2 linked regions of the Macaca mulatta genome follow. The protein of the gene in region 1 interacts with the protein of each later gene in a pairwise test. Links are inferred from orthologs where the notes say so. Each region holds a gene or a part of one and is shown on either strand. Other genes may lie near its edges.

Region 1 (7,417 bases):
TAAAAAAAAAAATTCCAGTTTTGTTTAACTTAACATTGTAGAATAAGCTTTCTTCATGTAATTACAAGTTTTCGTGGTGGTAATGACAACCCTGGAGACTGTCTAGGTGATGCTCAGCACTTTACATGTGTGTCTTCTATCTTCACAACAACCTCAAAGCTAATGTTCTTATTCTCCCTGTTTTACAGTGAGACTCGGAGAGATTCGATGGTTTTTCTGTGCTTGCACAACTGGGCTCTGAGGATTTAATATAAAAATGTCACTTAGGAAAAGACACAGTCTTTACAAGTTGGCTTAAGAGAGTCTTTTAGCATTGCAGCTGATGCTCTGTGCACATTTCTCATGGCCCTCTGTCGCTCGGAAAGCTTGTTGATCATGAGGGTTTCTAAACAATAGAAACACCTTCATCAATACATTTGGGACTCCACCGTTCTTAAATTGAAATAGCATTAATTGTTCAATGTGTGACTCTGGGGTCTGCTTAGTCATTAAGGTAGAATTTTTAACTATGGGGTAGCTAAATTGCAAATCTTCTCACATGGATTAAAGACAGAGTAAAGATTTTCTGAAATGTACTACTGATTTTTGTAAATGTAAAGTTTGTATTTTGGTATATTTTGTAGAATTTTAAACAAAGAATCACGGTGAGTTGTATGAGGAATCACAGCTCCTTTATTTTTCTATCTGGCAGGAAACATGATGATGACCGGAGGTTTACCTGCCCTGTCGAAGGCTGTGGGAAATCGTTCACGAGAGCAGAGCATCTGAAAGGCCACAGCATAACCCACCTAGGCACAAAGCCATTCGAGTGTCCTGTGGAAGGTAGATTTTAAAACATTGCTTTGAGCAGTAAACTAAGTACCAGGCCAACATTTATCTTGTTAAGTTTCCATTGTTTGAAGGTAAATGTTAGCTGCTTAAAGACTGACTCAATATAAGTTGTGGCGTTGTGTTTAGTTACCTCATTGAGTTAATTGTACTATTTTGGGAGTAGTGACTTGAGAATCAGACATGGTTTGACTCATGGCCCTGATCCTCACTAGATCTGTGGCTCTAGTTAAGTTACCTGTTTAATTTGGTGGTCATGAGGATTAGGTGAAACGTGGAAAATGCCTGTTTATCCATCTGGCGTGGAGCTCGGACTCAGTAAATTGTAGGTACTTTTGAGATCACGTTTGAATGGTCGCTCCAATCATTTTGTAATTGCATAGCAATAAAGCTAGACTGACTTTTTTGTTTGTTTGTTTTAATTTTTGAGACAGAGTCTTGCTTTGTCGCCCAGGCTATAGTGCAATGGCGCAATCTTGGCTCATTGCAACCTCTGCTTCCCAGGTTTAAGTGATTCTTATGCCTCAGCCTCCTGAGTAGCTAGGACTACAGGCGTGCGCCACCACGCTTGGCTGATTTTTATGTTTTTAGTAGAGACGGTTTCACCATGTTGGCCAGGCTGATCTCAAACTCCTGACCTCAAGTGATCCACCCACTTTGGCCTCCCAAAGTGCTGGGATTACAGGTGTGAGCCACTGCACCCAACCTGACTTTTTAAAAGGGATAGTAGAGAGGTTTCTTCCTTTAAAACACTGAAGCCTTAGTTCATTTGCCAGAAATTGGCTGCATGACCTATGCGTGCTGGCCCTACTCTAGTTCTGCAGGTGCACTGGGAGGCAGTGAGCCAGGGCATGTTGGGTGGTCATGGATTCAAAGTCTGGCTCTACTGCTCCCTAAAGTGGTGACCTCAGGCAAGCTGCTTCTTTGGGCCTTGGTTTCCTTATATGAAAGAGAGAATATTAAAGACCCATTTAAAGCTGAGACTAGCTCTTAGAACATAGTGAACATATATACAAGTGAACGTATATACAGTTCCTTCTTCCGTCAGGGTTTTAGCTGGAGGTGCAGACAGGGGAACAGGTAACATGTAGGGTGCTGCAGGGACACAGAGGGTTTCCCCAGACTGCTCTTCGGGATGAGAATGGCCTCACAGTCAGCTGAAGAAGGGGAAAGAGCACCAGACATGTGCGTGTGGGTGTTGGGGGTGGAATGGCCTGGGAGAGCCTCTCAGGGCCATGAGTGGCAGGCTTGAGTGTTTGGGTGAGTGTATGATGTGATCATGTTTGAGTTGTGGCTCAGTCTGACTTCAGGAAGGAAAGCAGCCAAGGGTGTGGGGAGGTGGGATGGCCTGGATGGGGGCGTTAATGGTGGGAAAAGAGAAAGTGGCATCGATGGCAGAGGTGGGAGTTAGAAGTCACAATATACGGTGATGGATTTGGATTTTAGTTGAGGTCAGTGTCTCAGCTGAGTGGATTTGGAGGAAACAGAGTTTAGTTTGGACATGTTGTGTTTTTGGTACCTTTGTGCATCTAATGCACAAAGGGCAGGGGATGTGCCGCTGGCGCTGAGGAGAGTAGACCAGGCAGGGAGCGAAGCAGACAGCACCCAAGTCGTCATTTAAGCCACAAAAGTGGATGAAATTCTCAAGGAAGAGTATAAATGGAGGAGAGGCAGGGTAGTGTAGTTGATCAAAAACCTGAATTCTGGAGTCACACTGCCTGGATTCGAGTCCCAAGTCTGCCTCGTAAGTAGCTCTGGGACCTTGGACAAACACTTGAAGCTCTCTGTGCCTCTTCCTCGTCTGTAAAGTGAGTAAAACCTCCCAGGGTTGTTGGCGAAGGCTGGATTGGTTAGTAAGTTTAGAGCATATGGAAAACATCAGTACATATGTCAGTTTACTGTTGTTATGATTGCTGTTAGATTTTCTTAAAAAGGACCTAGGACAGAGCCCTGGGGCTGCCCCCGATTCCAGTGGAGTGGCTGGGACGGGTACTGGCAGGACCAGCAAGAGCACAGAGGGGGTGGTGCTGAGGTGAGAGGGGATGTGTGAAAGTGGGGGTCACCTTGAGTGCTAGGGTGAGCCAGGACCAGGGAAGACATGCCTCAGTGCCACCTGCGGGGTTGTCTTGGTGTGTTGATGGATGAGGTTCCGCGGGGTCACTCAGGCAGAGTCCTGCTCTGATGCCCTGAGAGGTGGCCTGAGTGGGAGACGGGGATGGTTTGTGCTGACACTTCCACCAGAGGTGACTGGGGAAAGGGGAAAGGTGGGAGTTGGCTGTGGAGGATGGGGCATTTATTTCTGTAGAGCTCTGTTTCTTCCAGCAAGTGTAGGTGTTCTGCTGGGAGAGAAAGGGGGCACTCCCCACGTGGTGTGGGCAGCATGTGGAGATGGAGTTGGAGCTAGTGGGAGGAGCCCAGGACCTCTTCTCAGCTGGACTGAGAGTTGATCATTCTTGGGGTTGGGCAATAGTTGGGACTGATGATACCATTTTTTCCACTTTGGTAGATGTTTGAACTGTTGTATAATAAAAAGTAAAAGGCAAAACTACCTTTTTTATAGTAACAGGAGGAGGAGGAAAGGACAGGACCACAGACCAGAAGTCTGTCTGAGGGCAGGCACTGGGTGGCATCATGACAGCCTCGGGGCTGTGTGTTGCTGGGGCCTGTGTCTCGTGTGTTGCTGAGCCTCGTGCTTGCCTGGCCATCCACATGAGCGCCTCACTGTCCTCTGAATGCAGCTTGCAGACAGGTCTATCAGTAATGGCTGCTTCTGCCTCTCCCTGGTTGCAGCTTGGATTTGTAAAGAATGGACGCAGATCTCAATATATGGGCAGAATTTGGAAAAGCCAGCAGTTAGTACACATGGAGAAATGATTACATTCCTGGTTGTCACAGGAAATACAAACCAAAATGAAATATATTTTTGCCTATGGAATTAGCAAATACTTTAAAAAATGGAAACCCAGTGCTGGCAAGAGTGTGCAAGGGTCCTGTTGTAGCGTGGCCCTGCCATTGGGAAGGCATTTTACAGAAGATGTGCTTAGAGGCTCTGCTCTGTGACCTGTCTCTAGAAATCCGTGCTCAGGACCCCCAGCTGGGAAAGAGGGTTCCAGGGTACCCTGTGTACCATGGTGAGCAGGGCATGCGGAGGAAACTGTGCATTTGCAGGGCAAGCCTGGGCCGTCGGACCATCTCCTGTGTTTCCCAGATGGTCTTTGATGAGCCTGACCTGGAAATGAGTTTGCAGCTGTATTAGAAAATGAAAAATGTAGTTGAAAACTACATTCACAGGCAGCCAAGGCCCTTACTCATCTGGCCGTATCCTATCTTCATAGCCTCTTTCCTTAAAATATCCCTCCTCCAGGTGCTGGGCTCCAGCAGTACCGCCCCACCGTCCTGAGAAGGTGCTGCGAGTGCGTCGTTGCTCGCTCCACTTGCTTAGGTCCATGCAGAGGCTCTGTAGACAGGTATGGCTTTATTGGGCCCTCAGCACCCCTGAGAAGCAGGTGTCATTCCCATTTCACAGAACAGAAAAAGGAGACCCGCAAAGGATAAATAATTTGTCTAAGGCCACACTGCTGGTAAGAGGTTGAACTGGAACCCAGGCTGGGGTGCCTGCACAGCTGCCCTTCATGCCCCCATACCTTGGCTGGGCAGCTTTTTCGGCAGGAGCACCATCTGCTTTGCTGCACAGTGGCCCAGTCACCTCAAATGCTGTATACTCCTGAGACCACTTTTCTGCCTTCTTGGGAGGTGTGCGGTTTCCTCTGCCGCTCGCATGCTTCAGTGTTGGCACTGACTTACTGCCCTTTGTTGAAGCAGCTGGCTATTCTACTTGCCCCTGCCGGGTGCAGGTCTCTGGCCACCAAGAGCTCCACGTCTTCTCCCTGCACCCGTATGGGGCAGAGCGCCAGCGTAGTGGAAAGCCAGGGCACGGAGGGGAGGTGACTATAACTTTGAATGTGTCTTGTTTTTCCTCTGATGCCTGTGTGCAGATCAGAGTCATAAGTGGATTGGGAGTGTAAGCAAGGAGATGCCAGCTCTGGGCTCCAGGACACCCGCTCAGTCTCCCTGGGCATCCAGTGTCTCAGTGGGAAAGTGAAAGGACTGGCTTTGGTGATCTGTTGAGATAGTTTCCAGCTCTAAATATCATCCTAGGATTACATTTTTTATGGTAATAGCTTAATCGAGATGACTAGAATAAATTGTTTGCAACTGATTGTTTAAGCAGTTAATACTTAATTTGACTTAATCTTCCCAACATCTCCATGTAGTGGGTGAAGAAACAGGCACAGAGGTTGCTTAGACATAGCTGAGGTAGGACTTCAAATCTCCCTACGGGTTTCACTGTATCTCTTGCTTTTTAAAAAGTTTGCTTTTGACTTGAATTGCTTGTGATGCTACTCCTAGAGATATTTGGTTTCTGTCCTTGCCAGTAGCCAGGGTGCAAAATGCAGGTCTGGTGGTTCTGATCTGATGAGGAAGTGTCACTTGTTCCTGGTTCCTTGGTGATCCTCAGGTTTCACACTCATTACTCTTTTTGTTCCAGGATGTTGCGCAAGGTTCTCCGCTCGTAGCAGTCTGTACATTCACTCTAAGAAACATGTGCAGGATGTGGGTGCTCCGAAAAGCCGTTGCCCGGTCTCTACCTGCAACAGACTCTTCACCTCCAAGCACAGCATGAAGGCGCACATGGTCAGACAGCACAGCCGGCGCCAAGGTCTGCACTTTCCACGGCCCCCGTGGGGAGCTGCTTCCCCGCAAGAAACAGGAATAGTGCCAGTGCCGTCTGTTCCTTCTTCACCTCTTGGAAGTCGTCGGGCAGTGGGGTTGTGGCCATGGTTGCCAAGCCAAGTGGCCTCTTTTGCACTTTCTCTGCCACTTTCTTGCTTTTGACCCTCTAATCCCTCCCATGTCTTTTGTTTTTTGAGACAGGGTCCCTCTGTCACCCAGGCTGGAGTGCAGTGGTGTGATCATGGCTCACTGGAACCTCAGGGTCCTGCTCAAGTGATCCTCCCACCTCAGTCTCCAGAGTAGCTGAGCCCACAGGCATGCACCACCATGCCCAGCTAATTTTTGCATTTTTTATAGAGACAGGGTTTTACTATGTTGCTCAGGCTGGTTTTGAACTACTGGGCTCAAGCAGTCTGCCCACCTCAGCCTCCCAAAGTGCTGGAATTACAGGCATGAGCCACCATGCCTGGCCCCTCCCGTGTCTTTGAAATGCTTTCCTGGAAGAATGTTTCACTTTGTTGACTTTCCCTAGTATATGTCCCCTAAGCCTGTGTCTCTCACTGGGACTTTTGTCCTGAATTCTGGACCTGCCCCTCCTGCGTTTCCGTCTGCCTCAGCTATTCTCTCTCCAAGTAACAAAGGCCAGAGCAGAATTGTGTTTCAGGAGTGGACTGGGAGCAGTGAGGGCTGGAGAGGGCAGGGTTAGAGGGGAAAGTGACGGTGGCTGGGTGACCTGTAAGGGGAATGCTGAGTATGTGAGTGCCTGGTCATTGGGCAGCTTTGCAGCATGGGACTAGGAAACCTATCCCACTAGGCCTTCTCCACAGTGCAGGATGCAGAAGTGCCTGGCAGCTGTGGTGGCGGCCCCTCTGAGGAGCACGCACATGTGCCCTGCTCTCTAGGGCCTGGTGCGGTTATCGCTCCTCACTGGGCCTAGTTGATGGCATCCTAGCTAGCCCTAGAGTTACTTCTGCTGCTCAGTCCGTGGAAGCTGTGTGTGTCACCAACTGGGTCCTCCTGTGGACTGTGTGACCAGCAGCACCACAGGAGAGCACTGGCCTTGAGGCGCAGCTGTGTCACAGCTGCCGCATTGGCAGGGGACAGGCCTCCATGCCTCGCACAGAGTTTGATGAGGGGTTGGGCTCAGGGCAGGTCTGTGGCCTTTGCTTTCTTGTGATCCTATTTGGAAGTGGTCATGAAGCCCCTCCTTGGGATCTTGGACACTGATCTTTCACAGTTTACAGCAGTTGCCATTCAGCTTTATATTTAAATAAATTGCCCTTCTTGCTTCAGTAGTGTCTTGAGGACAGGGAATGTGTGTGCCACCTGATTCATGTTGGAGGGTGTCATCTTTGCTCACAGAGGCCCACGTGACCAGGCCCCCTTTCTCTGATAGCTCTATGAGACTGCATCACTCAGGCCTCTCCCCTGTTCCGCCGTTCCCTCTCATGGCACACTTCCCCTTTCCTGACCTGGCCAATTCAGAAGTCAGCAGAAGCCCAGTGTTATACCAGATGCACTTTCCTTAAACTCTAGTGGGATGTGAGACCCTCTTCTGTAGCAGCTTGTGTATCCCAGGCTTGAATTTCTTGTGCAACAATGACTTACTTGTGTGTCATCCCCCTTCCAGCTGTCGGGTAGAAGACCAGGTGTCACCATTTCTCCTAGTGAAAAACAGGCACTAGAACACCTGGTTACTGTGGGATTATGTCATGCCCTCAGTGGGTTGTTTCAGTCCCCCTAACGGTGGTCCTGGGAGTGGGGTCCTCACTGGTGAAACCAAGATAGAAAGTACTTGCCAGGGTCACACCCGCAAGAAGGGCTGGGGCTGGGCTTTGAACTGTGGTGATCATGA
Region 2 (7,417 bases), on another chromosome or scaffold:
GGAGGAGGGAACAGATTCTCGGTCCTGATTGTGAGAGTCTCTAGGACCCAGAAAAAATCTCTCCATAGTTGCCCCCACCCCGGCTGCGATCCTGAGGCACAGGCAGATCTGCAAGCCCTCCTGTAGACCTTTAGCAAAGGGAGCAGGGCCTCGGGTATGTGTGGGGTGGGGGCAGTGGGACGCTGGACCAAGGCTGGAGCTGGTGGGGGCCTCCTGTGTTGTAGCAGGATCAGAGGTGGGCTTGAGGTGGGGTGATACATTGAGGGGGCCTCAGATGTTTCTGGCTCGGCTGGTGCTGTTGGTACGGAGTTTGGGGACTACAGAAGAGGTCTTGTGGGGAAGTAGTGGGCTCAGATTCAGATGTGTTCCACTTGAAAGGTGACGTCCACATAGGGATTGGTGGAAGGCACTGGGCATGTGGATTTGGAGCTCTAAAGATCTGAGCCGAAATTAAATGCTGGAGTCACAATCCAAACTGGTCACGAGTGGAACGCACAGTGGTGGTAACTTTTCGCTAACTGGTCTCTCCCGCAGCCTACACCCGTGAAGCCAAACTATGCTCTAAAGTTCACCCTTGCTGGCCACACCAAAGCAGTGTCCTCTGTGAAATTCAGCCCGAATGGAGAGTGGCTGGCAAGTTCATGTACGTAGCACTGAGGTCCTTAGCTGCTGGGAAAGGCGGTCTGAGCTGCAGACAACAAACCGGCTGGGGGTGGCTGGTTTCCTCACCTGCCGCTGGGGGGCTGTAGCAGGTGGGCGTGTCTCCTCCTAGAACTGTCACCTTAGTGCCGATTGAAATTGCCCGTGGGGGCTGGGCGTGGTGGCTCACACCTGTAATCTCAGCCCTTTGGGAGGCTGAGGCGGGTGGATCACAGGGTCAGGAGTTTGAGAGCAGCCTGGCCAATATGGTGAAACCCCGTCTCTACTAAAAATACAAAAAAAAAATTAGCCAGGCATGGTGGCACATGCCTGTAGTCCCAGCTTTTGGGAGGCTGAGGCAGGAGAATCACTTGAACCCGGAAGGTGGAGGTTGCGGTGAGCCGACATCATGCCACTCCACTCCAGCCTGGGTGACAGAACGAGACTCCGTCTCAAAAAAACGAAAAAAGAAATAGAAGAAGTTGCCCGTGGGCCCTTGGAGGGAGGGGAAGGGGACTGGTCCTCTCGGGGATGTGGCCGTGCGGAATGGGTTCTGAGCCATGTGGTTCATGCTGATCATCTGGGGCTCATGTGGGAAAAGCCCAGACTTTGGATTCTGGATGACTGGACAACTGTGTCTTGCTCTTAGCCTCAGATCCTTTTGTTTTCTTTCAGCCGCTGATAAACTCATTAAAATTTGGGGCGCGTATGATGGGAAATTTGAGAAAACCATATCTGGCCACAAGCTGGTAGGTTTCAGCCCCGTGCGGTAATGTTGACTGTTGAACAGGGTGGCTCCTAGTGATCAAGGGGTCAGGGCTGCTTCGAGAGCTGTGGGTTCAGATTTAAATTTCCACGTTGTTTTTTTAGAGTTATTTGCATCTTGAACTTTTAACGCAAATACATTTGACTTCCCACGGAGGAGTGTCTGTGAGGCTGGCAGAGCTGTGGAAAGCCTGCTGTTTTCCTCCAGGGCCGCGTGTCTTTTGTAAGGTTAAGGCTAGTGAGAAGATTTCCTGAGGGCAATGGAGATGTTTGGGATTTTGACCTTTTGCTAACCGGTCCTACTTTGTCCTGGCAAGTTACTGACCCTGTTTTTTCTCCCCAAGGGAATATCCGATGTAGCCTGGTCGTCAGATTCTAACCTTCTTGTTTCCGCCTCAGATGACAAAACCTTGAAGATATGGGACGTGAGCTCGGTAAGCAACACTCAGCGCTCCTCTCCAGGGGAGACCGGCAGCGGGGCACAGGGCGGGTGGTGGGGACTGGGTTGACTGCTCGGTAAGCAGCACTCAGTGCTCCTCTCCAGGGAAGACTGGCTGCAGGGGCACGGGGCGGGGGCGGGTGGGGGAGGTCGAGTTGACTTCGGGGAACAGCCAGTTGCTGGCGGGGCATCAGGCATGCTCTGAGCTGTCAGGCATTGATGAATGTGATCCGACACTTATGTTTGGGGAAATAAGCACTGGAGTAATACTACTAATACTCTTGTTTTAGGGGAAGTGTTTGAAAACCCTGAAGGGACACAGTAATTATGTCTTTTGCTGTAACTTCAATCCCCAGTCCAACCTTATTGTCTCAGGATCCGTGAGTGTGGCCGGGGTGTCTTCCCTGGGGGAGGTGGTGTTGGATGTTGGGAAGGCTGTTGAACTTGCTTGTAGCCACTGTGGAGAAGGCAGGTGGGGCCCGAGTCCTTTCTGTGCTGTTTGTGGGGAGGATGGACTGGTGGCAGGTCTTGGGTTCCGGGGAGGTTTGCTCCTTCTCCTTCCTGTAGAATCACTGTCATTTCTTCTTTTGTGTTCAGTTTGATGAAAGTGTGAGGATATGGGATGTGAAAACAGGGAAGTGCCTCAAGACTTTGCCAGCTCACTCGGATCCAGTCTCGGCCGTAAGTCCTGCTGACACAGACGGGGTGGTGTCCGGCACTACGTGCCTCTGATGCTGGATGTGGCCAGCTGTCTCCCCGAGGGGCGTAAGCCTGGACGTTGCCTGTGCCTATCTGATTCCTGCTGTCATGCCACAGTCTAGAGCAATCAGGTTGGAGGCTGGGACCTGAGAGATGAGTCCTGTGTGCAGTAGAGGGATGGCAAGGGGGTGGTGAGGTGTCAGTGGGGTGCCCTGTGGTGAGCACCAAGGGGCCTTTCGTGCAGGCTGGATGGGGGGTGGGCAGTGGCCACAGGCGTTCAGAGGGTAGTGTACCCTGAACTGATGCATGGGACAGGAAGGGCGGCCAGGCTGAGAAGGGTGCTGGGAGTGGGAGTGTAGGTGAAGTGTGAGTTTTGAGTGGAGTTAGCTCTGGGCGGGGATGGCCCAGTCCTGGTGGGAACAGTTGGAAGCTGGAGCTCTCTGGAGAACAGGCTTTGCAAAGGAACACATCCTGCCATTCTGCTGTTGCTGTACCACTGTGCAAAACAAATGACCGAGAGGCCGAGCATGGTGGCTCACGCCTGTAATCTTAGCACTTTAGGAGGCCGAGGTGGGTGGATCACTTGAGGTCAGAAGTTTGAGACCAGCCCGACCAACATGGTGAAACCCCGTCTCTACTAAAACTATGAAAATTAGCTGGGCGTGGTAGTGAGCGCCTGTAATCCCAGCTCCTGGGGAGACTGAGGCAGGAGACTCGCTTGAACCTGGGAGGCAGAGGTTGCAGTGAGCTGAGATCGTGCCACTGCACTCCAGCCTGGGCAACAAGAGCGAAACTCCGTCTAAAAAGAAGAAAACAAGAACAAATGGCCGAGAGTTAAAGTGTATGCAGTATCACAAACCGCTCCATTTCAGAGTGGCCAGAAGGTTCTTCTGTTAACAAAGTGCATGAGGCAGTTTCTCGGCGAAGCCTGCCCTTCGTTGAGAAGCAGAAGGAAAGGTGGATGCAGCGTTTGTGCCATGCTGCCCGCCAGTGTGGCATTCATTTTCTGTTGTCTTGGTGGTGAATGGGTTTAAGCATTTTTACCCTTGCAAGGCTTTGCCCGAGTGAGATGGCAGGCGAAGCCCTGGTACTGGCTGGATGGGTAGTGTGTCAGGCCAGGGCGGGGTGCGGTGTCTGAGCCCCGCACATAACCGGGCCACAAGGCCCTCGCAGGCCCAGTGTCACCGCTGCAGGGAGGCTGTTTGCTGTGGGAATGTCATCATGTGGCCCTGTGCTTGTGGCTGTGTGCTCGTGGGCCCAGCCCCTTGGTGCCAGTCCCCTGCCCTTCAGGGCACCTTGGGTCACAGTCAGCGGAACTGACTTTCAGACTGGGCTGACAAATGAACACTTGTGAAGTAACCTGAGAAAGGGGTTCGCTGGTGGCCTTTGAGTTGGAAGAAAGAATTCCATGAGCATCCTAGAGGCCAAAGATAGTGCAGGTGGGACTCGCAGGTGATAGGCAGGATTTTAAAAGTCTTTTTCCTACAAAAGTAGTTTGCTCATAAAAAGACAAAAACAAAAACAGGTTGGGTGCCATGGCTCCCACCTGTAACTCCAGCACTTTGGGTGGCTGAGGCAGGAGGATCCCGTGAGACCAGGGGTTTGAGACCAGCCTGGACAACAGAGTGAGACCCTGTCTCTATACAAAAAGCAAAAAATTAGCCAGACGTGGTGGTGTGCACGTGTGGTCCCAGCTACTTGGGAGGACAGGGTGGGAGGATTGCTTGGGCTCAGGAGTTTGAGGCTCTGGTGAGCAAGATGGTACCACTGCACTCCAGCCTGGGTGACAGAGTGGGACCCCATGTCTTAAAAAAAAAAAAAGGCCGGGCGCGGTGGCTCAAGCCTGTAATCCCAGCACTTTGGGAGGCCGAGACGGGCGGATCACGAGGTCAGGAGTTCGAGACCATCCTGGCTAACACGGTGAAACCCCGTCTCTACTAAAAAAATACAAAAAAAAACTAGCCGGGCGAGGTGGCGGGCGCCTGTAGTCCCGGCTACTCGGGAGGCTGAGGCAGGAGAATGGCGTAAAAACCCGGGAGGCAGAGCTTGCAGTGAGCTGAGATCTGGCCACTGCACTCCAGCCTGGGCGACACAGCGAGACTCCATCTCAAAAAAAAAAAAAAACAAAAAAACAAAAAAAACAAAACAAAACAAAAAAACCTACAAAGGTGAGCAAATGTAGGAAGTAGAAAATGAATTCCCTGAGTCACCCCTGGGGTCAGCTGCTGGGAGGTGGAGTCGGTCCCTCTGTGGTCTTCTACTTTGCTGTTTTAGGTGCGTCTTTTCCAGCGTAGCTCACTGCTGTCCTTTAAGTAACTGGTACTGCACCACAGCTGCTGCTCTGTAGCCGTCTCCACTGCAGAGAGGTTTGTGGGGGCTTTGTTTTTTCTTTTTTTTTTTGAGATGGAGTCTCACTCTGTTGCCCAGGCTGGAGTGCAGTGGTGCGATCTTGGCTCACCGCAACCTCTGCCTCCTGGGTTCAAGTGATTCTCCTGCCTCAGCCTCCCGAATAGCTGGGATTACAGGTGCCCACTACCACGACTGACTAATTTTTTTTTTTTTTTTTTTTTTTTTTTTTTTTTTGAGACGGAGTCTCGCTCTGTCACCCGGGCTGGAGTGCAGTGGCCGGATCTCAGCTCACTGCAAGCTCCGCCTCCCGGGTTTACGCCATTCTCCTGCCTCAGCCTCCCAAGTAACTGGGACTACAGGCACCCGCCATCTCGCCCGGCTAGTTTTTTGTATTTTTTAGTAGAGACGGGGTTTCACCGTGTTCGCCAGGATGGTCTCGATCTCCTGACCTCGTGATCCACCCGTCTCGGCCTCCCAAAGTGCTGGGATTACAGGCTTGAGCCACTGCGCCTGGCAATTTTTGTATTTTTAGTAGAGACAGGGTTTCACCATGTTGGCCAGGCTGGTCTCGATCTCCTGACCTCAAGTGATCCACCCGCCTGGTCCTCCCAAAGTGCTAGGATTACAGGCGGGAGCCACCGTGTCTGTCCTGGGGCACCTTTGATGTCTGCGCACATCTATACTCTTGGACTGCTGGTGTGGGCCTGCTGTGTGAGCAGGGACTGTGCCAGTCCTCTCAGTGGGTGCTTATGTGTAATTCTCACTTGAACAAAAAGGAGTGCAGCGAACATCCTGTTTGCATCTGTGGCAGTTTGTGAAGGATGACTTTGGAGGGGAAATGCAGTAGTCAGGATATGTGTTTAGCTTTTTGATAGGTACATTTTGGAGCTTTAGAGACTTTGAGGCACGTGGCCCCCTGCTTACTGCCTCCCATCCCTGTCCCATCTCTGGCCAGGGTTTGCCCTCTCTGGCCAGGGCTCCTCAGCTGAGGGTCGCTGCCAACCGCCGTCAGCCACAGCCCTCGCGCCCTCGTTGCACCTGGGACCTGTGTTTTTCCTGCCCTGGAGCTTCTGCTACTGCTTGTCTGCCCAGGTGGACTCCACAGAGCCCTTGGAGTGCTCCTTGGCTAGGGGCCTTGCCATCCCCTGCTGGGTTCTGGCTGATTTCCTTATCTATTTCCTTTTTGTTTTAATACTTATTTTTTTATTTATTGAGACGGAGTCTCGCTCTATTGCCCAGGCTGGAGTGCAGTGGCATGATCTTGGCTCCACCTTCCGGGTTCACGCCATTCTCCTGCCTCAGCCTCCCGAGTAGCTGGGACTACAGGCGCCCCCCACCGCGCCTGGCTAATTTTTTTTGTAGTTTTTATAGAGACAGGGTGTCACTGTGTTAGCCGGGATGGTCTTGATCTCCTGACCTCGTGATTTGCCCGCCTCGGCCTCCCTAAGTGCTGGGTCTTTTTTTTTTTTTTTCTTTTTGGGCACGGGGTCTTACTCTGTTGCCCAGGCTGGAGTGCAGTGGCGTGATCTTGGCTCACTGCCTCCTCCACCTCCTGGGTTCAAGTGATTCTCCTGCCTCAGCTCCCCTGAGTAGCTGGTACTACAGGTTCATGCCACGCCTGGTTAAGTTTTGTATTTTTTTGTAGAGCCAGAGTTTCACCATGTTGGCCAGGCTGGTCTCGAACTCCTGGCCTCAAGTGTTCCGCCCACCTCGATTTCCCAAAGTGCTGGAATTACAGGCGTGAGCCACCGTGTCCGGCCTCTCTTATCTACTTCCTAGCACTGAACTCTTCTGGCAGCCTTCTGCTAGAATGCAGGGGATGGGCTGTATTGCCCCTTGCACCTGAATGTGGATGGAATGGCAGAGCTGGGCCATGTTTGCCAGTGGGTAGTATTGGAATGTGGTTAAGAAGCTGAACAAAGCAAAGCATGGAGTTGGCCTTGTGAGTTTTGGGGACTTGTTTTGTCTTATTACCATCCATCGTAATGGTCTCAAGAAAAGACTTTTTTTTTTTTTTGAGACGGAGTCTCGCTCTATTACCCAGGCTGGACTGCAGTGGCCGGATCTCAGCTCACTGCAACCTCCGCCTCCCGGGTTTACACCATTCTCCTGCCTCAGCCTCCTGAAGAAAAGACTTTTTTTGCACATTAAAGGCAGGGACGAATGTGGTTAGATGGATCCCTGTGAGTTAGAAAAGTACTTTGAGAGGCTGCCAGCCACATGGTTATGATTAGGCACCTGGCACCGTGAGAGCACCCTGTCAGAGCAGAAACAGGTACTCGCCCCTCTCGGTCTGCTGGAGAACATCTAGGGCCGCAGCACCCAGCATGCCCAGCATGGAGGCTGCCAGCCGCATGATGGCCCAGAGCTCAGGCCTGTGTGAGGTACCTGCAGATTTCAGAGACCTGGCACAAAAAAAAAGTGTCTTGTAATAACTTTGTGTTGATTGCGTTGAAATAATATTTTAGATACATTGGGTTACACGTTATCAAAGTAATTTCACTTGTCTTTTTTTTTTTTTTTTTT

The links. The genes of interacting proteins can lie anywhere in the genome.
Region 2: the proteins of ZXDC (region 1) and WDR5 interact in binary tests that used the Homo sapiens proteins (3 or more experiments, as listed by UniProt). The link is inferred for Macaca mulatta from reciprocal best matches to the Homo sapiens genes ZXDC and WDR5.

The regions. Positions count from the first base shown.
Region 1 is NC_133407.1:157,498,949-157,506,365, forward strand, and holds part of ZXDC (zinc finger protein ZXDC), read left to right. Parts: intron 1-691; coding exon 692-822; intron 823-5,377; coding exon 5,378-5,548; intron 5,549-7,417. UniProt on the Homo sapiens protein: Cooperates with CIITA to promote transcription of MHC class I and MHC class II genes.
Region 2 is NC_133420.1:8,368,065-8,375,481, reverse strand, and holds part of WDR5 (WD repeat-containing protein 5), read left to right. Parts: intron 1-534; coding exon 535-643; intron 644-1,314; coding exon 1,315-1,388; intron 1,389-1,748; coding exon 1,749-1,838; intron 1,839-2,133; coding exon 2,134-2,223; intron 2,224-2,440; coding exon 2,441-2,524; intron 2,525-7,417.